Neodiprion lecontei: one gene and its partner. Each later gene encodes a partner of the first gene's protein in a complex. Links are inferred from orthologs where the notes say so. Each region holds a gene or a part of one and is shown in the gene's direction. Other genes may lie near its edges.

Region 1 (12,243 bases):
GCCTCCACAAACATAATGGCTAATGTCATACACTGTAAGAATAACACGAATTTAAGTCTGAATTACTAATCATTTTTGGAATATGTTTCGGGCCAAGAGCCAAACATTTATGGCGCTTGTAAATATAAAAATTATTATATTTGTACATGATCACATCGTAAAATAATATATTTGATACATAATATATAAAAAAAAATGTACAAGAACTCTTCAACGACTGAGTAATGTCAGAAGAGGAAGAAACGGTCGATTGTGAGTTTGTTGTAAAACTAAAAAAAATACCAGATAAATAATAATCAATACAGCTGGACTGTAAGTCTGAAAATAATTATTTTGCATTGTGAATTATTAATTTAAGATCAAATACATTTCGGTTTTTGAAAATTAGTTTTCCAGAGATTTTCTACCGAAATGTTTCTCAATAAAATCACTGTGTTTCCAGTGTCAGAGAGTGCATTGTCCCAGAGAAGCTGAATGACAAGCCAGTGATATCCGTGCTCTATGTATTACAGATCTTATACTGTATGCTGTGACTAACAAACTTACGATTTGCATACAACTTACTATTGCTGGATATATAGTGTGCACTGATTTTGCCCCTTCCTCTTATTCTGCTATTAAAATGATAGTTATATCACATTTCCCAGACAAGCGGTTACTCAACTATCGAGCTGAATAACTGCAAGAGAGAGCAAAGGTGATAACACTAACACTACTAGACACAGATGAACGCATGAAAATTCTCCAATACCCTAACAGTAACACAACCGGGAAAAACCCGAATTAACAATGAGATCACTTTTGGTTTACATGTGAGTAATACAGATTTTGAACTTTGATATTAAAAATCTCTTAATTATCTGAGTAGGTTCCAAGAATTCTAATAAGGACTTGCTCACATCGTAGCTCTTAAAGCGCAATGTATTGATAAGCTTGAATAAATGATATCTGAAAAGTAGGTTGAGTAAATTGCTTTCATTTTCTATTCTTTGAGTCTATAAAACATAAAATTTCGAATCAGTTGTTATATTCGTATGTACTACATGAACGAATTGTTGATGCGTCATGTAAATCGTAATCTGATGTTCCATACGTCAGCTTTGCACCGGATCAGTCTGGTATTAATATAAAGCGTATTAACGCTCATTCTTTTGTTATGTAACAGACAGCTGTAATGCAGAGTGAAGCATGGACGTTTGATATATGAACATTGAATAATAACAGGTATATCAACATATTATGCGTATGTCATAATATGAATGATATATTTAAAATATCGATATTACAGAACGAAAAAGAGAAACAAAGTATTTTCGAGCTAATTCAACATATCTGAAGATTTTCAAGATTTTAGTTTATGAATTGGAAACTCTGTAGGGAAAAAATTTAACTGAAAGTTTATATATCATGTCTACTGACAACTTTGCAGTCTCTAATAAGAAATTTTTTATTTAATAACAATCCAAAGAATATCATAACTATAATCCTCTGTAATTTTTTATTACGTTCAATAAGTTTGAGTTGAAGCGACTGAAAAAAAGACTGCCACAAATTTTTTGGACTGCTTCAGTACTTTGCATTATAGCGAAAAGAAAAATGTATGTCATCTCACAAATAATTGTATCAGTCAATTACAGTATGATCTGTAATTTGTATTGATGAGATGGAAGGGCTATGAAAAAAAAATGTATGGCAAATGAAAAAGAAGCGAGTGTCTGGTTATTTTATATATACCTTAAGCATTGTGCGTTTGTGTTTCAAAATTGTTCCCCATCCGATCCATCTCAGTTTCAATGCTAATTCTATTCCTATTATGATTAGAGCCAGAAGCTCGATAGATCCATGCGCCCAGACGGGTAGCTATCCGGAAAAGGGGTAAATCATCATTATGCATATGCATAGAATAAAAGCACCTCCAATCTGCAGCTTCAGGTAAGACCAATAAAAGGTAGAGATCAAATTTGAATGACTCACGATCTAAGGTTTACAAGGTATCATAATATGGTGGAGGAAAAAAATTCCAATTTCAATATTGTTACTTGGAAAGTGAAAACAAAAAAGAAACGGAATGAAACTACTGACTGTACCTTGTGAGTAATAATAGCTAATATTTAATATGCATGAATTAAATGTGTGTGTGTGCAACTCTGTACACACATGAAACAGCAACAATCCATGGTTAACCATATATTTTCAGGGTCTGCTTACTTATTACAAAATTATTCCAAGTTTTTCGAATTATAGTCATGAATTTAAGTCCGGTATAAAGTATGGCCATAATTACACAAATATTTTCCAATGAATGCAAGATATAAAAATAATTCTTGGTAGTGAACAGACATCCAGTTGTCAAGTTACCTGAGATGCAACGAGGCTAAAACTAGCGGCCAAGTTTAGCAGCCAAACGTTCTTATGTTCATTTGAATAAGGTGGTGAAGTCCGATGATAAAAATTCTGTAAAATACCTTGAATTCACATTACTTTTATAGAATTATGAGGATAAAACTGAACGACATTTTTATACTTCCAAAAAGTTTAACAGGTTTGGCCGCTAACTTCGGCTGCTAGCTTTAAAATCGTTGAAATGCAGTGTAAAAATTTCTACAAATTTAATTTCAATAATAAAACAGAGTAATAATTATGACAATAAACAACTTGAAACGATTTTCTGACCTTGAAAAGAGGCACTGCTGGCTCCTCAACAAATGCCAAGGCTAAAAGTATGAGGGAAGTCAATAGGTCAAGGCCATAATACCAGCTGTTATGCACCAAAAGGTAGGCTGGTAAATCCTCTGGATGTCTGGGATGAGAGTCAAACTTCTCATTATTTCGACCTTCCTGTGGACAAATAAAATTTTCTGAAGCCACCAAACTCTCCAGGTGTGAGTTACAATTTCTCTCAACGTGAATATTTATAATACTGATATGGAATCATGGCTTTTGAATGAGAGTACGTTCTTCGTCACAAGTTACCTCAAGAAATATGGCTGCTTCATGATAATTCATTTCCCAGTGTACGTCCGCATCTATACCAATCGCGTACCTCGCCAAAGCCGCATTTTCTGACAAAGTTTCACCATCCGTTGCACCAATTCTGTGACCGATTTCATTCGGAGTATCCGTATTCTCCCTTGGGGTCATCCTGATTCTGCCGTCTGAAGAAGCGCAAGACAACATAGACCCATATTCTAGAAAAAAATTGAAAGCACGCAGCAGGAATGAGACAAGCATGCGTTAGCAGCAAAAGCCTTCCTCCATGGTTAAGTGCACTGGCAGATGATTTCCACGATGTTCAGGGCGATGACCGATACCAGATTGATGGAGGTGGTAGTTGAAATAAAGAGAAAAAAAGGAAAGAAAATAAAAGAACAACATTTTACTACATGTTAACATCAGCCTGCATTTATTACATCCTACACACAATGCTAAGAATGGAAACTCTAAATTGATATTGTGTGGGTCTATGATAAGATCACGGTCAAAATTATTTGTAACAACTAAAACAACTCTTACTGACGGAATTTTAAATTACTGTATTTACATAGTTCACATTTTGTATTAATGGCAAATTAGTCACAAGGAATATAATCTGGCATGGTATTTTTTTTTTGTTTTTAGTCACTGTTAGGATACTTACATTTCATAAATTACAAGTTTGTACACGACTTTCTATAAACATTAATATCGTCTACATATTCATGAGAACATGAATCGGATGCTGGTATATGATGTCATACTGTACGTGTATAGTTTGGAATTAGAGACAGACAAGCCTTAGTTCGAATGTTTCTATCAGTTTGAAATAAGTTGTGCGGCAAACATTTTCTTATCAAATATTTGAGCATAGAAACAGATTATATAGAGATAAAATTTAACACTCGTGTACTTTTGTACAGGAATAGAGATATTGAAAAATAGTCACTCTATTGACACGTTTGCTTCAAGTAAGTGGGCGCAACTTCCATATTTACAAAAAAAATTGCAGAGTATTAACTACTGGAAATACATCCAAGCCTGAGGTAGAACACAAAACTATTTTTAGCTACTACTAATGAAATTAAAAATTACCATGCAGTGTGTAATTTAGTTCTGTTAGATAATACACATAATCCAAAATGTAAACTAACTATTTATTTGCGATATGATTTTTGATTCTGATGGTTCGTTAATTGGAATATTTTGAACCGTTATTTGACATAAAACTTTGCTGAATTGTCTAAATTACGCATCAGATCATCTGTTTTTAAACGGCCAGGAGTCAGTGTATATCGGTTCCTGTCTACATGCTCACATTTTTTTCATACCTCAACAGAACTCGTATTTTGCAATAATAAAGTTAAAATATTACCACAAGCTCATTGTATTTTATGTATTAAATTGTAGGTAATTATTATGTGGAAGGATATTGCAAAATATTGTGAATAATACCATAAAAAACCTTGATCAGAAGTCTAAGCAATGTGTGGTGACTTGCATTAATATATTAGTGAGCTTTAATCTACCAAGTATTTGGTTATTTGAATTATTATATGTATAGGTTGATATCAGATTTGTGGAAAAATAAAACCAGACTATACCACACAAAGTCGCACTGCAAAATAAATACAGATGCTGTATTATCATTGAAAGTAATTATCAACTATAATAATTTCGGTTGAGGACAGAATTTTAAGACAATAATTAGCATTTCATTATACGTGTCCAATTGACAACTTTAACTGTATAAGAGTAGAGTTTAACATTTCCTGGCAATTGAATAGACACACAGACGTAATAAAAAAACTAATAAAAGAAAGTCATCATCCAAATCTATCTGCAAAAAGAGCTATCTTATCAAACTTTTCAAATATGATTAGAGTACTTATTGAACAGCTAATAGATGTGAAAAAAATTTTGTACTTTTCACATAATTAAGTCATATCTTTGGAATGAGATGAAAACCGAGATCACAAGTTTAGATCCGGTTCGAGGTGGAGATTTAGAAAAGAGTAATTGAAGAAACTAAATCATTCACTACTGCATCATGTTCGAGTATGTATAATAAATATCTTTTGGAGCAAATTGCCAATTTAATCCAATGTAAAAGTTTCTTTTCGTTTTCACGTCCCGCGTAACGGAGGAATTAAAGCAACTGCTTACTTGGACTCGCTCCGTAGGAACCCTCTAAACGTAAAGTGACGTTTGGCTCATCGTCGAAACGCTGGTATCCGTCCGCAGATCCAGGACTTCTCGGGGACGAGGGCATCTTCGTTGGCAGCCTCGACTCCTGACAGCCGCACGGGTAACGAGATTCTCTCGAGTGGCTGCGCGCTCGCGAGTCACCGCAAACCTGACTCCTGCCTACGCTGTTTCAGAGTTGCGACGCGACTGACGACGAGTGGTTTTCTCGCGGATATGTTGCAGATGACTAATCCGAGAATTTTTTAACCCGAAGCCAGACAACGGAGATTCGGCCGTTATCGTGATATCCCCCCGTAGCCGGGGCTGACTTCACATCAGCGGACTTCGGGCATTCCGCTTAAAAAGGCTTCGGGATTGGTTCGCCTTCTGCGTTATCTCCGATCATGGCTCCGATCAGAGTAAAGTCCAAGCTGAAAATGTTGGTCCATACTGGTTCAGCAATTGAATAGCACCGCAATGAAGATTTTTAATTTAACAGTGTTTTTACCAAATTGAAAACCACGCTAAGGCGTAGGAAAGTAACTCACATTGCTTGAATCAGAACTGACAGTCAGTTAACGCTGAAAGTTACGTTTTGGAACATTTATTAATTCTATTGCAACACGAAAATGTACAAACGTTTGTTGCAAATATCTAGCCACTATAAGTAGCAATGTTAAGACAGTAAAAGGCTTCATTGATGCCAAGTATGCAGCTATATGTTGGGTTTGGCATGGAATATGTGTAATAATTTTTAAAATCGGCAGAAAACGCGCGTTGCGCTTAGACCGGAAACGTGTGCCCTAAGTGGTTATTTCCAGCCTCGTTCGGCAGATGGAGGCTCTTTCAACCATCCGCTGGCTTCGACGTAAGTATCAGCCGCCGTAATTTTCTTCAGAGAATCCAAATAATCTAACGTTCTTGGTCGTACTGGTTTGGGAGTTATATCAAATAACATCAGTTTAATTCGCCTACTTCAATTTGCGCCTAATATTTCTATAACTCGTCACATTTTTTGCATCAACAGTTAAAATGTTTATATGGCATGTCGACACGGACGTCGATACGTCTAGCTCCTCACGTTAAATGCTGTTTATTCTTTGTTTCGATATTTTTATATACATATCATCAATTTCGTACGTGATATCTTGTATCCAAGAGTCTATATAAAAACTGTGATCTCCAATCTCTGAGATGAATGAGTTAATGCATTTGTCTTAATTTTAACTAAACATAACCTCTCCCCTAGATTACAGTGTGCATCGCCTAACGTGTCATTACAATTCAACTGAACAGTTCTGTGATGTGTTTTCATTACTGAATCAAGATCCATTAGACCATACAGGAAACTTTTCATATCCTACTGCACTTTTACGACTATTTTACTTTTGGGTTTTTAAAGTGTTTCAGTTCTGATTGAGTCATAATTTTATTACAGATGGTGGATACTAAAGCGAAGGCTCCGGCCAAACCTGCGGCTACTGAGGCCAAAAAGGATGGACGCAAGGTCCGTGGCAAACCAAGAAATCGTGATTTAGGAAATGGAGTCTACAGGTTCAGCCGAACTCGAATGTATCACAAAAAAGCTCTTTACAAGTTCATTGGCAAGAAGACCGAGAAAACTGTAAGTTAATGTTTGAAATTTAGTAAATGTACAATGTAGAAAAAGCCATCACTTAGGTTTTTTCCATATTGTAGTATTCCAGGTAAAACTTGCGTCAGATTATCAATTTGCTAAAAATTTTTTTTAATATTTTTTGAAAATTAAACAATAGCAAATTCTATCACTCAAAGAAATTTTAAAAACTTGAGTCTTGTAATTTTTCCAAATAATTCTTCATATTGATACTGAATATTATGAAAGTTGATGCTGGTATCAGTTAAAAACTCATAAAAAAATAATTTGATCTGACCAATATTATAGGTAATAATCCCTTCTAATCCAAGGTGGTTCTTGCACATTATAGCTCCATAATTTAATGAAAGGGAAATTAAAGCGATGAAATTACCAACCGATTTGTTGTTTATCTAAACAAAGTGGGTGTGAAGTCGCAACATTTAATTGCCAAGAGTCGTACAAGCATTAACGCATAATTTTCTAAATCTTTATTAACATTGGTTTTAGTAACCCAGCTTAACTGTGAGAAAGTTCTCTAGAAACTTTGTATATTTTTAGCATTGCTTAAACATCATTTTTCTCTCACACTGTTGTAATCCGATATTGTAACAATTTTTCAATCAAAATAATGGTTTATCGGATGTTCTTTGATTTAAGGCAATTAATCGGCCCAATTTATAATTTGATTTTGTAATGAAATTTTGCTAAACCACCAATGTAAACTAATCACCTGCATTGTAGGTAAAGCCCAAGAAGCCTGTGACCATTGAAAAGAAGATTGGTGGTGATAAAAATGGAGGTACCAGATTAGTTCTGCTTAAGAAGAGGAGGAAGAACTACCCTACTGCTGATCCAGTCACTGTTCACCATGCAAAGAAAACTTTCCGTGAACATGTTCGCAGACTCAGACCCACCATCACTCCTGGTACAATCCTGATTTTGTTGGCTGGGCCCCACAAGGGAAAGCGAGTTGTTTTCTTGAAGCAGCTTCGTAGTGGTCTTTTGTTAGTAACTGGTAAGTGGGCGTTCCATATGTGCTCCTCACAAGTGCAGAAGAATTGAATTCATTCGAATAAACATTATGTATTGCAGTAGAAAATAGTTCCTCTATTTTTTCAGAAAAATAAGGCCTTAGTGTTTTGTGTGTATTTTAACACATACGATTGAAACGACAGATGACGCAGTTTCAGACATTTATAGTGTTCAAAAAAGTGTGCAGTAAAGTTGTCTTAGTTCATATATTTAGAACTACTTTGAAGTAAACAGAGTTAGTTTTATCTTTTCTGTTAGTATTTTATTGCCATTATCATTTTGTGAATAAATTGTCACACGATTAACATTTTACAGGTCCATTCCTAATCAACGCTTGTCCTTTACGTCGTGTTAGCCAGAATTACGTGATAGCTACATCGACAAAGATCGACCTTTCTGGTGTGAAACTACCCAAAGAAGTAGGAAAGGACGAATATTACAAAAGGACCCAGAACAAGCGTGCCAAGAAAGAAGAGGGAGATATCTTCAGCACAAAGAAAGTAGACTACAAACCTTCTGAACAGAGAAAGATCGACCAGAAAACTGTGGATACACTAATTATTGGAGCCATCAAGAAACACCAGGACAAAAAATTGCTCTTCACTTATTTGTCAGCGATGTTCGGTCTTCGAAGCAGCCAATATCCCCACAGAATGAAATTTTAAATCCATTTGATACATCATTTATGTGTATGTCACCGCAGTGTTGTACATGTGGAATAATAAAAAATTAAAAACTTGTCATAGGCTTGGAGCATTTATTTGCAGATAGTTTCTTTATTTGATATTCCTGAAATCCGCAGTTTGTGGATCAGTGTGACCAGCGATCGTAAAATGGTCGGAAGAATCGTGGAATTCCCCAAGTTGGAACACAAGGTTTGTGTTAAATACAGTAAAATTAAATTGGATCATGTTTTAATACAATTATCCGAATATGTATTAGTTTACATTCGTGAAAAATAAAAAAATATTTCCACATCTTATTAGAGAACATGAAAAACTTATTACAATTAACAGTATTATCACCAAGTCAATTTAATCAAATGTTGGAAACGATTTATTTATAGAGTGTTTTCAACAGTTGACAGCAATGTGTTGATGCAACATTAGGATAGCCAAGTCCCAATTTACATGTAAAGAAACCTTGTTAGTTAAGATGATTTCGACATTTTCAGAGCGTCTAGTAGATTAGACTATCTGTAAGTCTTCGGGTATTTCATAGAAATGTCCCGAAACTTTTGGAAAAAAAGGAAACTAATCGTATACTTGAAACCTGTAACGAATTCTAAATTGCCGAGCCCCCTAGCGCCCTGTATCTTCAAATCAATCACTGTTGATTTCTGATTGCAGTTAGAAGGCTGTTTCTTTTTTTTGTGAATTATTTTACGTGAACAAACTTCCGGGTTAATCTCTACCCTATCATCAAGCTAATGGTGCTAAAAAAAAGATTGAACGAAATAGTTGATGTCCTTGGGTGGGATAGCCAAAACAGGTATTTATGTGTAAAATTACACCATCTTTTGAAATGACGGAAACATCCGACAACCACATTCTTACCACGAATGTCCTCGAGTGATGAATCTACCTCCTGAACTCTATCCTATAGGCATACCATAAGTGATACCGACAGAGATAGTTCACCCCCGTATCAACTACTTCACTCGGTAGACAGAACGCGCATTCCGCTGTTCGAATAGTTCAGTGTTCGGACCTGGTGGATGCAGTGTTCTGATTGGCTAGTACGTTACCGAAATTACTTCAAAGTGACATCACTGGGTTCTTTGTGCTTAGCGTACGACGCAACATTTGGCGGGAATCGTGTCCGGCCGCATAACATCATCGCGAGTGCCGGCAAGAGTTCAGGCGGTTCAGGCAGTGGACTTGGCCTCACTTGTTATGTAGACCTCGTGGAGTGTGTTTGCAATTTATCGTATATTTTGTCAGGTAAATTATTTCTCGTTTGTTGTTTGATGTGAAGTCAATATGAGTGCCAAGTTACATAGTACAAAGCTGCAAGACATTGCTGAAAATCTTGAATATGTCGGAGCTGCTGACGATTCTGGATTTGCTAGCATTTCAGGATCCGTAGCTTCCGCAGGTATTGTACACGTTTTTCTACCTTATGGCAATTAAAGCACGACATGGCATGGGTATAGAATTAATGAACGGCGAACAACAGTTGAGTGTCGTCAGTGATAAACAGAAGGGACAGACAAAATTGCGGTAGTTTTGCATACTTTTAGATGTGAGCCGTGTGAATTTTCAGGGTTATTAAATTTAAATCTCTAGTCATGTATAAACCATTTTTAAATGGCTTGCAGTTTTTCTTCCATATCACACGAATTTTTGGCGAACTCGTTAAAGGCAGGTGTTTATATGAAATCGCAAATTTTTTTTTATGGGAATACCCATTGCTACGATATTTCTGGTAGATACGGGCTCTATTTGTCAGTTAAGTTTACTCTCTAAGCTGGTGGATAGAGTAATCCTCTTTGACTTCTATTTGTCTGTTTACACATGCGAAATGTGTAACTGCTTATATTTACTTTCTCCTATATTGCTAGTTTATTACTAGTCTTTAACTATCACTGTTACCTCTTAAATGAATAATGAGGATAAATCTGAAAGCAGAAAATTATTACTTGCATCCAAATAATGTTTAACAAAAATTCTCTCGCCTGACCCTTTATTAATTTTTAAATTTTCTAGTTTTATCTTCCATCTCAATGTCTCGTACATTCAAAGACTTTGTAGTGTACCGATTAATATAATTTTTGGCCAAAAATAATCTACTCTTGTTTTCGCCTTAGAAATAAAACTTAAATTTGCTTCTGCACACATTGGTAGATGTTAAAATTCTCCACTCATTTCCATTGTTCAAAAATTCACTTTGAAATATATTTTTCCACAAGCTTTTACTCTCATTAATCCCTCAATATTTTCATTATTTTGAATATCTTTAGAAGCCACAAGTGTTACAAAGGACGAAACATTGGCAATAAGCAAAATTGCTGATGATGTCAAAATTAATAATGGACCATTTAAGATTGACTATAAAGGATCTACGAAGGGAAAGCGTAAAAGAACCCTAGAGATTGAGACAGAAAATAAACGCTTAGCTGCCGAGCAGTATGAAAAAGAAGTTGTGGAATTTCGCTACAAACGTTTGATGCATTTGCTCGATCGTAGCCAGTTTTATTCGAAGTATCTGGTTCAAAAGATTGATCAGTCTTTAAAACAGGAATCAAAGAAACCAGGAAATAAACGTAAGCCCAAAGTAAGCGATGAGAACTCACCACCAAAAAAAATTACTAAGAAGGCTCAGAAACTAAATCAAGATTATGACATAAGGGAATATGTGACTGCGAAAGATGTGAGTGTTCCCAGATGCACTATTCTTATAGCTCCTCTTGTGCTGTACATGTGCGTATTCACCATCGCTTTTTATTTGTATGGATTGTTTGCGCAGTGTGTACTGTATCCTATAACCCCAACCAATAAATTTTTTTCAAAATATCAAGAGTCAACTCTGTGCATTTCATCACTAGTAACTTTTAGATGCTAGTACATAAGTGGAATTTATCGATATACATTACCATAAAATACAAAAATGCTCTCAAGGTGATACATGTGATGTAAAATTAGGTTTTCCAATGAAATTAATAAAATTGTGTAATTTGTCTGAAAGTTTTGTTATAATTTTTCAATCAATCAAGGTTGTAAATATGATAAAGATGGAACTTTAACTGTAATAATCACGTAATAGTCAATTATTATTAAAGACCTGTTGGTTTCTCGCTTGAATATGTATTATAATTGTTTGTCTTTGTTTACTTCTCCAAAAATGGTAGAGCAATTTTCATGCCACGTATTATACTAGCATATTTTTTTTCTCCAAGATTTGCTAATTTGATATACCTACAGGTCAAGAATAAAGAAGAAGAAAGACAAAAAATGAATCTCAGTCAAAAAGAAATAGCAAATGAACTAATGATGGAAACAGACGGAAACATAGCAAAAACAGATTATCCAGACAAGGACCAACATGTTGAGTCTGTACAGTTGAAATATTTTGTCGGCACATTGCGTGACTATCAGATCGAAGGTTTAAAATGGCTTTGTGTGCTGTACGAGAATGGTGTAAATGGTATATTGGCAGATGAGATGGGTCTTGGAAAGACTATTCAAGTTATTGCGTTGATTTGCCACTTGATAGAAAAGAAAATACCAGGACCTTACTTGATAATTGCACCACTTTCTACTATTCCAAATTGGTTAATGGAGTTTGAAAACTTTGCTCCAAAAATCCCTGTTGTTTTGTTACACGGACCTCCAGAAGAGAGGACAAAACATTACCGGTCGATCCAACAGAAAAACTTTGATATTGATGGATACAAAACACAACCAGTGGTTTTGACTACCTTCGAAGTACCT
Region 2 (11,845 bases), on another chromosome or scaffold:
AGGTCAAACAGCAAGTTTTGCCTTGAAAAAAATCAAAAGATCCCAAATTCGTAAGGGAATGGTAATGGTTTCACCTCTATTGAATCCCCAAGCTTGTTGGGAATTCGAGGGTGAAATTTTGGTACTACATCACCCTACTACTATCAGCTCAAGATATCAGGCTATGGGTATGTTGTATCGTAAATAATCTACTCTTGACATTACCACAAGACCTTAGTTCGTATACAGTGAAACTTGTCTTAACGGACACCTCTTTATAACAGACAAGTTAGAAATCCCTCACAGAAATGCATCCTTTTATTGGAAAATATACCTTCTAATAACGGATGCAGACACTACTGGGAATGCATTTTTCCATGAAAAGACTTCTGAGTGGCGGACACTTTATTTTCAGTTTGTTCATTGTTTTCCGAACTCTTGGTTGTTGATGTGCCGTCGCGCACGCTGAAGCTTGCTACATGTTTACCTTTAACGAAATCGTTCTTTCATAAGTTAACAAACTATATGTTTTATTATAAAAAAAATGTTTTTTTCGATTGTTACAGCGTATGTATTCTGAATACTTACATTCATCTATTCATTTATGTACCTTGGTCCGTTGAAATATTACATGTTTATACAGGTTTATACATATTTGTGTAATAAAAAATGAACCATTTTCTGAATAACATACACTTTTTAATAGCGGATAGTATTTCCGGTCCCAGTGTCCGCTATCGAGAAGTTTCACTGTAAACACTTCAGGAGATAGGTAGTAATAAATCATTGTAAGAATCTTTATTTTTTTTTGTTGCAGTGCATTGCGGCAGCATAAGACAAACAGCTTCCATTCTAACAATGTCGCAAGACTGTCTCAGAACAGGAGATAAAGCTCTGGTGCACTTTAAATTTATTAAACATCCTGAGTATATAAAACCAGGGCAACGTATGGTCTTCAGGGAAGGGCGAACAAAAGCCGTTGGCAATGTTTTACGACTCATACCCCACTCTGGACCTACTGGTTCGCAAACAATGAGGGGCAATAAGCCTAACAAAGTACAGCAGAGTCGTCAGAATGGCTCTGCAATGATGCCTCTTACACAAGTAAGCTGATAAAGCTATTTCTCAGAAAATTTACTCGAATAGATCTTACCACAATTTAACTGGTTTTATTTCCATTCTCGACAATGAACTTTTAGATGCCAGATGTAGCAGACCAAAATTCACCCTTCGAAGTGTCTGCTGATAAGCGCGAAAATATGCCACAAAGATCGGGCTCTGGCGGCAAAAAGGGACGAGGCCGAAGAGGGGGACGAGGACGACCCCACAACGCGACAAGCGGAAATGTACAACCTTTATCTGAACAAAACCCTCCAGCCAAAGTTTAAAGAAAATTTGTGTACAAAGTATAAATATTTCCTTAGCAATATTACCATGTGATGTAATAGAGCAATGATAACAAAATTTTATTCTTTTTTATAAGTACCAGTGCTGCTTGAAATTTGAAAATTTTCTTCTGATAAATTTTGGTAAAAATTTGATAGCAGCCTAGACATTCACGATATTTTTTTGTTTGATATCAATACAATATTAATCGATGAAACGTTTATTCACAGACTGATTTCATCATTCTTTTTCACAAAGCGTTGTGTTAATTGATTTGACTCTGATTTAACCGAGAATATAACAAAACAGTTAGGAATTGACTCAATATGACTTCTAAAATAGGACAAAAAGAAGTGAATAAAATTTATAAACTGTATCTTAATTTTCGCTCTGTTTTTTAAAGCTTGCTTTTCCTTTCCCATAGCAGCACTAGTTAGAACTTTCTTTCAAGGTCAACGGGACTGTTACAATTTAACATTTCATATCACATACTTATATACATATAAATATGTATTTAAAATCCGAACACAAAAAAGTTTGAAATATTCGAGGCACATGTAGCAAAATTTTAGTAATTATATTCCAGTTTTGTCATATTAAAGATATACATTACATATCTACTTTTTTTGAATAGACTATCTGTATGCAAAATTTTTCCAACAGATATAAAATTGCAATCCGAATTGTTTATCAAACGAAAACACAGTCTTACAACTGCGTGTTTCTCAGTTTAAAATCTAAGAATAACATACTCCGAACCTATCCAGGAAAAAGACACCCCATCTCTGTAAACCATCTATAGTGTTCCACTCGATCATTGAATCGATATATTAGTTCGTTTTGTTGTACTGAGCAGTTTCTTACATAGTTCCATTACTCCTAAAGAATAATTTTTAATTGCCGAATTTCAGGAAAGTATGTTTGTGTTTTCCAGACATGTTACGCAAACAGTTGAGGTGAGAGTAAAATCTGTATATATATTTTTTGACATTTCCAGACATTGGCTGAATTACGTCGAAAGTATATCCGTGAATAATATGTATTGATTTCACATCTCCTTTACTGCTATAGCATCATTAGATATGGGGTGAAAACAGCTGTTTTTGGTATCAATGCAGGCTTCAATTACTTTTTTCTGTTCACTGTAAGTTACTTCTTTTGCGCTTGTCCTGACTGTATAATTTAAAGATGAAACTGTGTTTCTATATGTATATTACACATGTAAGGGCTATGAGTTTAATACTTTGTAATTCATTGTACTATTTTTCAAATGATTGAATAGGTGGTCGAGAATGCTTGTTAGACAGATGATTTTCTTTGACTGATTATGATGTTAATATTAATATTACTATATAGATAGTAGAAATTTTAGAAGATAAGATTGATCTATGGGTTGGATTTCTAATGTTGATTCTTTGTGAAAGTATTCAATATTCATATAAAGTATTAACAATAATCACGTGTGCTACATTAGGTTTCATCTGCCCAATTTGTTACAACGGATAAAACTCTAAGAATACTGTAAACGTACGTACTGTATTATGCAACTTATAATTTCGATACTTTATCGAACTAACAAGATAATTTTCAAAGAAGTTGATTTTCATGTTCAGTAAAACTGGACTGATCTTAATACTCGTAATTCTGGTGTTTTTCTTGTTGTAATATCAAATAAATGCCATATAATACAATCTGAAATTGGAAATAACTTCTCTTTTTACATCGTAGTTCACTGGTGACTTATATTTCCTATATTTTGTGGCAGAATAATCCTTGCTGGATTTAAAAGAAGAATTTTTTTTCACAGCTGGTTAATTTCTGCAAGAGGCTTTAGTAAAGTTTGATAAAAATATACAAATATGATGCAAATTCACTTTTATATGAGTAAAATTACATTGGATAATCCAAACGGATTATAAATGTTGTAATCTAGTCTAAAAACAATTAAATTTGAAACATTTTCCACAAACTACAAAGTCTGCTCACAATTGGCTGTAGATACTATCAACGCAATATAAAAAGTTAATTTACTTGGTAAGCCGATTGATGCCAAATGATATTGAAGAATTCACAAGTATGCTTATTATTTTGTAGGTTTCTCTAAAAATTTGACTTACAAATTTGTATGTATTTTTGTGGGTACACGTTTGTCGCTGCCTCTGCCGTATATAAACGTTGGATGCATATAGGTAAAGTGCAAGAAAATTAAGAATAACAAGTGATTTATGAATAATGTAGAACAAACTAAAAGTCGAGCAGCAGGTTTGGGTATACTAGTTATAAGAAGGATACATACTCTAAGAGCACTCAGTCCTCCAAATGAAAGTAAACATAGGAAAAAGAAGGCGTTACTTTCTTCTTGATATATCATAAGGCTCAGAATTAATGTTATGAGATGAGAATACAAGGCATAGCCCAACAACCCAACTAAATCCCAGAATACCATACTTGCGCGTGCCAATTTACATAGCACAAAACCTAGACAGGGATTCACAACAATATATAGCAGTACTGAAGTTACAGGAGCCATAGTTAAATCTGTAGCCGACGGCTCTTTAATCCTATATCCGTAATTTAGAATTGCAATTAAAATTAAGACTGCTAGGAGGGGTCCTACTAGATCTATATTTTCAATTCTAAATTTCTTGTTACAAGGAGGTCCGAGGGAAGCTATAATCCGTCTTCCAATATCGTAGGGTGTAACTTTCATATAACGATTGACAAACGAAACATGGCCATCAACTTTAACGCAATATTGTTTGGAATCTGTAGGCACCAATATAACGGCTGATCCTTTGTACGCCATGGTAAACCAATGGGAAATATTAAGCTATTAAATCTAATTCACAATTCAGAAAAAAAAAAAACTGATTCATCGAAGTCTTTGAGATGGATAACTAATCGCAGGAGAGTAATTTGGTTACGTTAGAATATATGTTATTTAGATTGTTTCTTTTCCTGATCCTTCTTAGCGTCTGCAATTCCTTCTTTGAGATTAGATGAGAAACGCGATAATAAACTTGCCCATTGCTTGCCAAGCTCCTGTGGACTGGATGGTATACCGTGCTGGGAAGAACGTTGCATAAAATAAACAACCAGCTGAGCAGCTCGTCTTATAGGTTTTGAATCTGCTAATTTGTTGATGAGCTGTTCGTTGTTGGCCAAGTATCGCATAAGAAAACGCAGAACCATAATGAATTATAGTATGAAAGTCTAATTATTTATACTTTGGGTACGTCGAATGTACACATATTACGATACTTGAGTAGTAGTTCTCGCTTCAACTTGAGCTGCCTGCGAAGTGTTTCTAGCTTCTGTAATTGCTCCTCTTTGCTATATTCTATCCCAGGCAATTTTTTTATCTAAAAGCAATGGGTTTCAGTTTATTAAATTACAGAGAACGAATATTTAGTCATGCTAAGCATGATTATCGTCGAGTATACACACCTGTGATCGTGCAGAGTCCAATTTTTTTTGTAAATCTAGTATTTTGTGACTCGTATCCTGAGAGTCCTTAGCTTTTTGGGTGTTGTCATGAGGATCTTTTTCCACGCTATGTGGAACAAATCAAAATTTTGTTGCATTACATAACTAGTTTGATGAGACAAATTAGCTGTACATTTAATAAGGTAAATTCTTGTTCATACGTAATCCTGTAAAACTCCAACGTCACGATCTAATGTTCGCAGAGCAAGTGAATAAAATTAGAATATCAATTTGAGAAATTGAGCAATCATGTACCTTGTGTTAATAATTTTGATACGCAATCATATGAGCTATAAATAATTTGACAAACGTGGCAGACAATGGGGAGTGCTTTCGCAACTTTCTATCTATAATAACTTGAAAAAATGGAGTACTATTTTTGGCATGTCAATTTCAAAGGGTATTGCTAGTGTTAACAAGAAAATAAATTAAACCCACATACCTTCGGATTATTTCGTAAACAAGCGGTAGAATTTCTATGTCTAGATCGTCGACTGTGAACTGACTTCGAGCAGGCGCTTCCTCTGCTATCTCAACAACTTCCATCATATTTTCACCGCAATTTTTTTCGGCATCTTCTGCTTTTTCGACACTAATTTTTTCTTCTTTCGTAGACAGTTTAAATGAATTTATCTACACACGTTCTTTATCACGCGAACTGGTCGTTCAAAGCATTTAGCACACCACGAAGGTTTGACAAAATTTTACGGTACTGTCAGAAACAGAAGCCGGAAAAATCAAGTTTTGTAGATGGAGCGATGGCAAGGAGCTTAACATCTAGCTTGTAAAGTTAGACATAGAATGGACGTAATCGTTAGTATAGTCTATGGTGTTGCACCGCGAATGCCGGAAGTAGCTCCTGGACATTTGACCAGAAAATTGATTTCCGTCACTTTCATTTGGGCTATCAAGGGTAGTAGGTATGTATCGCGAATGCTGTTTTATATCTCTGATAATCCGAGGAATCCTACACAACGGCAATTAATTAGTCTTACTGAACGAAATTAGGTTAATTTACCAATTGTTAAGAGTGATAGTTTTTTCGATAAATAATTGTGGTGTTTATATTTTCAGTCCAAAATGGGACGCCGGCCAGCGAGGTGGTAAGTCGTCATGACTCGCATTTTCTAATTTAGGAAAAAAAGAAATAATCGAAAAGAGAAATAATTGTGGTACCTTTATTCCTGACCAACGATTGCTTTAATTGACTCGAGCTACGAATTAATCCGAGGCTCTAACAAAATTCCCTTTTTTGTGTCAACGCAGGTGTATGCCAAGCTTCGAAGTGCACTGTTCTGTATTTAACCCATTACTGCCGCTTCATTTACTCACTTATTTTGAAGTTCTCTGTAATTGTCGCGAAAATTTTGCTAATTAGAATTGCAGTTCCAGACCATTAGTCAACTGTAGAGAATTTTGTGGAACTGAAAGTTCGACATGATGGTAACGTAACCTCGTTAACACTGGTGTCTAACCTGTTTCGCAATATGTATCATTTAATTTATAATTTATACAATCAGATGTCATTGTTGCAATACGCTTTGAGATAAAGGTTTGGGAATCTAAGTGCTGTGTAAATATGTTATAAATCAAATACTGATGAGAATTTTTGTTTAATTACAGTTATCGCTACTGCAAGAACAAACCATATCCTAAGTCTCGTTTCTGTCGGGGTGTCCCTGACCCAAAGATTCGTATCTTTGACTTGGGAAAGAAGAAGGCATGTGTCGAAGACTTTCCACTCTGCGTTCATTTGGTTTCTGACGAATATGAACAGCTTAGCTCAGAAGCTCTAGAAGCAGGTCGTATTTGCTGCAACAAATACATGGTCAAAAATGCTGGCAAAGATCAGTTCCACATTAGGATGCGACTCCACCCTTTCCACGTCATTCGCATCAACAAAATGTTGTCATGCGCTGGAGCTGATAGGTAAATTACGTGAACAATAGTAACTCATTTATCCAACAACGGAATATTATCTACTTAGATGGAAAATTAATGCTACAAATTTGTTCAACTATCTAGGCTCCAAACTGGGATGAGAGGAGCCTTTGGTAAGCCTCAAGGTACTGTTGCTCGTGTCCGAATCGGGCAGCCGATCATGAGTGTGCGCTCATCGGACCGTCACAAGGCGGTAGTTATCGAGGCTCTACGGCGTGCCAAGTTCAAGTTCCCTGGTCGTCAAAAGATCTACGTTTCTAAGAAGTGGGGATTTACCAAGTACGAACGTGCCGAATACGAAGATCTGAAGGTAGCTGGTCGTCTTGCCCAAGATGGTTGCAATGTCAAATATCTTCCAGAGCACGGACCCCTAGACGCGTGGAAGAAGTTCAGAGAAAGCCTGGCCAGTGCCTAATCTGAGCCAAACACTTCTGTAAATGTGGTCTCAATAAATTTTATTCCGACTAATTAAAATTGTGCGTCTTTTACTATTATACCTCGTTATGTTGCAGGAAGATGCATGCTATAAGTTCAGTATCAATTCCAGATCTTTTTTTGCCAATTTACCATTTCCATGGTGAATATTACAAAGTTCGCTTTTATAATAGATCCATTGTTACAGGTATGAGTATTCTACAGATGTAGCAGATGATCATCTGTTCGGAGTTCATAATAAAATAGGTATAATGTGAAAAGGATGGTGCTGTGATTTTAAGAATTTATTTTACAAATGATTAGAACGCCATATCCTACGTAACTCATTACAAATCAGTAACGTCATAGAAAATAAAAGTTGAGTGAGATTACGCGTCCATAAAGTTGTCAATTGTAAATTATGTACAGGAATATATTTAACAAAAAATATCCAAAAATTGGAAATATAGTTCACTAAAATACTTTGTTAGTAAAATGATTAGAAAGTACCTAATTACCTAATTAAAATTTGAAAAATACAATATTAAGGGAATGTATGGCCCAATTTTATAACACAACTGTTCAAGCTGCCCTAGGCTACCTGCATTTAACTTTGAAAGTTAAAAGAATACATCTGACAGATAAATTGCACTTTGAAACTTTTTTGCCAACGAAAGATGTAGGTATCATTATTGTTCGACTGTTTAACGAGTTTGTGGTAACAAGTTTTAAACTTAGTGTAAATTTTTCTCATTAGTACGATCCACGTTCTTCACACTTCCGTTTTCTACTTGCAATTCGTCATCGATATCCAAATCATCTATAGGCTCTATGTTATGCATCGGATGAAGACTGGTATCCAATGCTTCTGTACTTGTAACTGCGTCCAATAAAGGAGATAGTTTCTCTGCTTCACTATCATCATCTTGTCCCTGAAAACGTTGACGAAATTATTTGAGAAATGAATCTCTCAGTTTGTTAGCAGCAAAACAACTACTTTACCTCATCGATAGCAGTTGATTGCTTCTCATTAACGAGTCTTAATGTGTCTCTTGTACGAAGGGCCGTTTTGTCACGTGGACGACTAATTACTTTGGCTCGTGCAACTGGAGAACGACTGCGAAGATCTTTTTGAGAACCAGAAATTTCATCCCTTGCAAGTAGAACAGACATTCGGAACTCGGGTGTTGCACAAGGCATACCACTAGTTCTTGGTGACTTCTCCGTATCTTTTGGAGATGCATGTTTCGAAACTGGCGTACGCTCAGCTGATCTAAAAAAAGTTCTTGTTTCTACCATCCTACTATGATCTACAATCTATACAATTTAACCCTTTAAGATTACACCTTTGATTCATGGATATACAAGTTTGAGCTTGGAACCCCATCCTATTCTTCGTTCTCATACAAGTTTGATAAGTTTTACGCGTCAGTCACCAAGAAAAAGTGATAAATTACCATTAGATTATCGTTTTCTTATCAAGTAACCTAATATTAGGGTTAGTTTTAAGAAAATATTTTCTTTTTGTACACGTGCATTATTGTTGTAATGAACATTATTTTAAGATGCAGTTAAAGGGTTAAATGTGTTAGACATGGAATGTTCATGATTTTAGAGATGCGTGGAGTTTTGTTAGAGGCATGTGAGGGTGAAAGCAGTAAAGGACGGTTATTTGAATTTCAATAATGGCTAGAAAATAGTATATTAAAATCTTCATCATTTTACTGACATACCGATTTAAAATTTCAGCAGCTTGAATAGCACTGGCTGTGTCTGTGTCAGGAGTATCCAGGGACTCAATTGGTAGGACCGTTGCTCTTGGTGTATAAGGGCCATTCAAAGCTTCTATGAGCGATACTGCCTCATAGCCAGGTGGTATATTTTCACAACTACCCTGGAAAGTAGTTTAAGAATCGAATTTATTTGCTGGTTTACGAAGAGAAGTGAATTAGTCAGAACTGGCTTCCATCATACAGACTAATGACAGCTTGAGTTATAAAACAGAATGAATACTAATAATCAATACCTCAGCCAGTGGCGGATTGGACAGTATTGCCCCAGTCGCTTTCTGCAAAGCTTTAATTTGCAACAAAGCCCTGAAAGGTGCTCGACATATAGGACAATTATTTGCCTGATACCGTAATGAGTCCGCACACCCATTACACAGGCACAAGTGCCTACAAGGTAGAATCAATGTATCACGTACGTCACACATGCATATAACGCATTCAGATCCACTATCTTCAGTATCTTCATCGCTTCCTTGTTGCTACAAAGAGAAATAAATTAATTGAAAAAAGTGAATTTTTCAACATGCAACTTTATGGTTCCTGTTTTGTGTAATTGAAATATCATCTTGACTGTTTCTGCGATACCTTAGCATTTTCGCTGTTCTTATTTTCAATGCCGTAAATTTCTTGAATTAGATAACAAAGCCCATCTACGTATAGCTTTTGTTTCAATGCTTTTAACACGTACGATCCATCGGAATGTTTTTCTATAACAGCGATAGTAGTATGAGACTGTTTTGGCTCCTCCGTTCCCTCCTCTGCAACGCAGTGAATTGCGATTGGAATGACCTGGAAAGTAATACTTGTGTAATAGTCAGGATGTAAGGATATAAAATAGACAACTTTATGAAGTACTATTTTGTTTGTCAAGTGAAGCCAAGTTTTAAGATAATCACACCTCTCTGTCTGGATTGTATACTAAATCTTCCTCGTTGTATAGAGTTGGATCAAAAATATGAGACGATTGGCTGAACTGTTGATTAGTACCCTTTTTATAATGATATGTCTCAGAATTCATCGAAGGATCTCGAGGTATATACCTGAATAGATAAAAACAATAAAATGCAAATTCGAAGTGTTATAATACTCAGTATGGTTATTCTCAAACTCTATTATACTTACACAACTCCATTAGCGGTTACATCCTCAGTACAAAAATAATAAACCGTTATGGCACATCTAACGTCACAGTCGAAAGTAAATTCTATGTTAAACCTGGTAGGTTTATAGTCGGTATCTCCATCTCCGTAATGCTTACTATTATGGTGTTGCGACGAAGTTGATGTTTGGTCTATGATACGCACTAGCCGTAGTGATTCCTTCCGTATGTTAACGAGACTTTTCAGAGTCTTTGTTGGATCGTTGGCTTGAGGCGGAGGATATGGAAACTACGGAGAAAAAAAATAATCTATATTGTCGAAAAGAGTCCAGGTTCAATCCTTTCACAGTCACGAGTACTAACCGGAGTTGGCCTACTTCCGAGGAAATTTAAATCAGCATTTTCTCCGAAAAGGTAAGCTTCCGGTTGAGGTGTATCGAACCTCTCACCACCCATTATAAAGTGGCTTCCAAAATAACTGCCTGTTAATTTATGAAAGTTTGTAATCTTGTTCATTTATGATTCGGTGTAATAGAATTAACGTCATTTGTCTTTTGGGAAAGAATGTATTTATCGTGTAAGAAAAAATAAATAAAATTGTTGTTATGAAGATATGAAGTTACATGACAAAGCTGCCTCTGACAGTAAAGTAATAGGAAGAGGTACATAATAAAATTTCATTAAAAAGTATGGAACGTAATTTAATAATAATAACATTTTACCCGAACGCGGAGGATATTTGTAGGCATGGTTTGAAACTATGTCGACTTCTTCGACACCAGCATTTTGTCTGCTGGTTAGTGAGCCCATTTTCAACTATTTTCGTTGAAAATGCGAGATGAAATGAAGAAAGTTCGCTACTCGTTCGCACTTTTGACAACTAAACAACATTCAACAAGGTATCTACGGCCTCATCAGCTGGTGACAAAGCGTGGTAAAGACCATTGATGATACAACTCACGAGATTACACGACAAGGAAGTAAAAGTGACGTATCTCGCTACCGCTGGTGATATAGAGAATTGTCCAGTTAACGATAGTCTCTCCATTTCCCACTGCGTTATCTCTGCAATTTTCTTAGTGTCTAAACATTTCCAATGAACATTATATTATATCAGGGGAAATCCAGTTAAGTTTTGTTAGCATGTATCGTGAAATTAAGATGTAAAACACCATAGTTATCTGTTGACATTGAGATTTTCTGCCGTAATTTCTATCACGCTGTAGTCCAACGCTTTGGGAGATTGGAAGACTGAGGACACATAGAGATAATGCTTTGAATCATTTCGGATCTACTTATCTGGAGTACGGTTTCAACTCTCAAGTGAATACCGCCCCCCGCAGTGGAAAAATTCAATTGCTCCCGATGGCTCTGTGTCCAGTGATACATTAATTATTATTTTATCGCGGTGGTCGATGTAAACGATTATCTTCGACAGATATATTTTAACTAGTTTTACCACAGATTATCGGCGTTGTGGTTATGGTGGTTATGTTGTGTGGTAGCTCACGGAGGACAATTGGAATGTTACCATCACGGAGTATCGCTGATTGACTCTTGTGCGTCGTCGTCCTATTTATTTATTTTTTTTCACCTTTTGTTTCGATTATAGTGAATCCTTGACATTTATATCGTTAAGCTTCGACTATTGTTGTTCAATCTAAATGGTTGGTATTGATTACGATTACCATTCGATGTATATATTGTGTGTTTTGTGTCCTTGACCAAAGATGACATGAAATTTGGCAAA

Evidence for each region.
Region 2: 60S ribosomal protein L6 (region 1) and 60S ribosomal protein L10 share a complex: the UniProt entries of both Caenorhabditis elegans proteins name them as parts of the large ribosomal subunit. The link is inferred for Neodiprion lecontei from reciprocal best matches to the Caenorhabditis elegans genes rpl-6 and rpl-10L.

Annotation. Positions count from the first base shown.
Region 1 is NC_060262.1:33,925,741-33,937,983, forward strand, and holds 60S ribosomal protein L6, read left to right. Parts: upstream 1-6,339; 5' UTR 6,340-6,354; coding exon 6,355-6,363; intron 6,364-6,598; coding exon 6,599-6,784; intron 6,785-7,519; coding exon 7,520-7,793; intron 7,794-8,125; coding exon 8,126-8,475; 3' UTR 8,476-8,553; downstream 8,554-12,243. Other genes in the region: two pore calcium channel protein 1, read right to left, coding at 1-32, 1,735-1,860, 2,674-2,838, 2,974-3,188, 5,140-5,245; lymphoid-specific helicase, read left to right, coding at 9,793-9,907, 10,773-11,182, 11,734-12,243. UniProt on the Caenorhabditis elegans protein: Component of the large ribosomal subunit.
Region 2 is NC_060264.1:6,101,007-6,112,851, forward strand, and holds 60S ribosomal protein L10, read left to right. Parts: upstream 1-5,643; 5' UTR 5,644-5,771; intron 5,772-5,925; 5' UTR 5,926-5,931; coding exon 5,932-5,954; intron 5,955-6,474; coding exon 6,475-6,780; intron 6,781-6,876; coding exon 6,877-7,207; 3' UTR 7,208-7,266; downstream 7,267-11,845. Other genes in the region: GTP-binding protein 1, read left to right, coding at 1-167, 797-1,083, 1,179-1,367; protein YIPF3-like, read right to left, coding at 3,479-4,171; mediator of RNA polymerase II transcription subunit 9, read right to left, coding at 4,587-4,727, 4,813-4,918, 5,294-5,400; probable E3 ubiquitin-protein ligase MGRN1, read right to left, coding at 7,941-8,138, 8,209-8,479, 8,940-9,100, 9,233-9,475, 9,582-9,785, 9,895-10,036, 10,119-10,384, 10,459-10,577 and 1 more; sorting nexin-29, read left to right, coding at 11,760-11,762.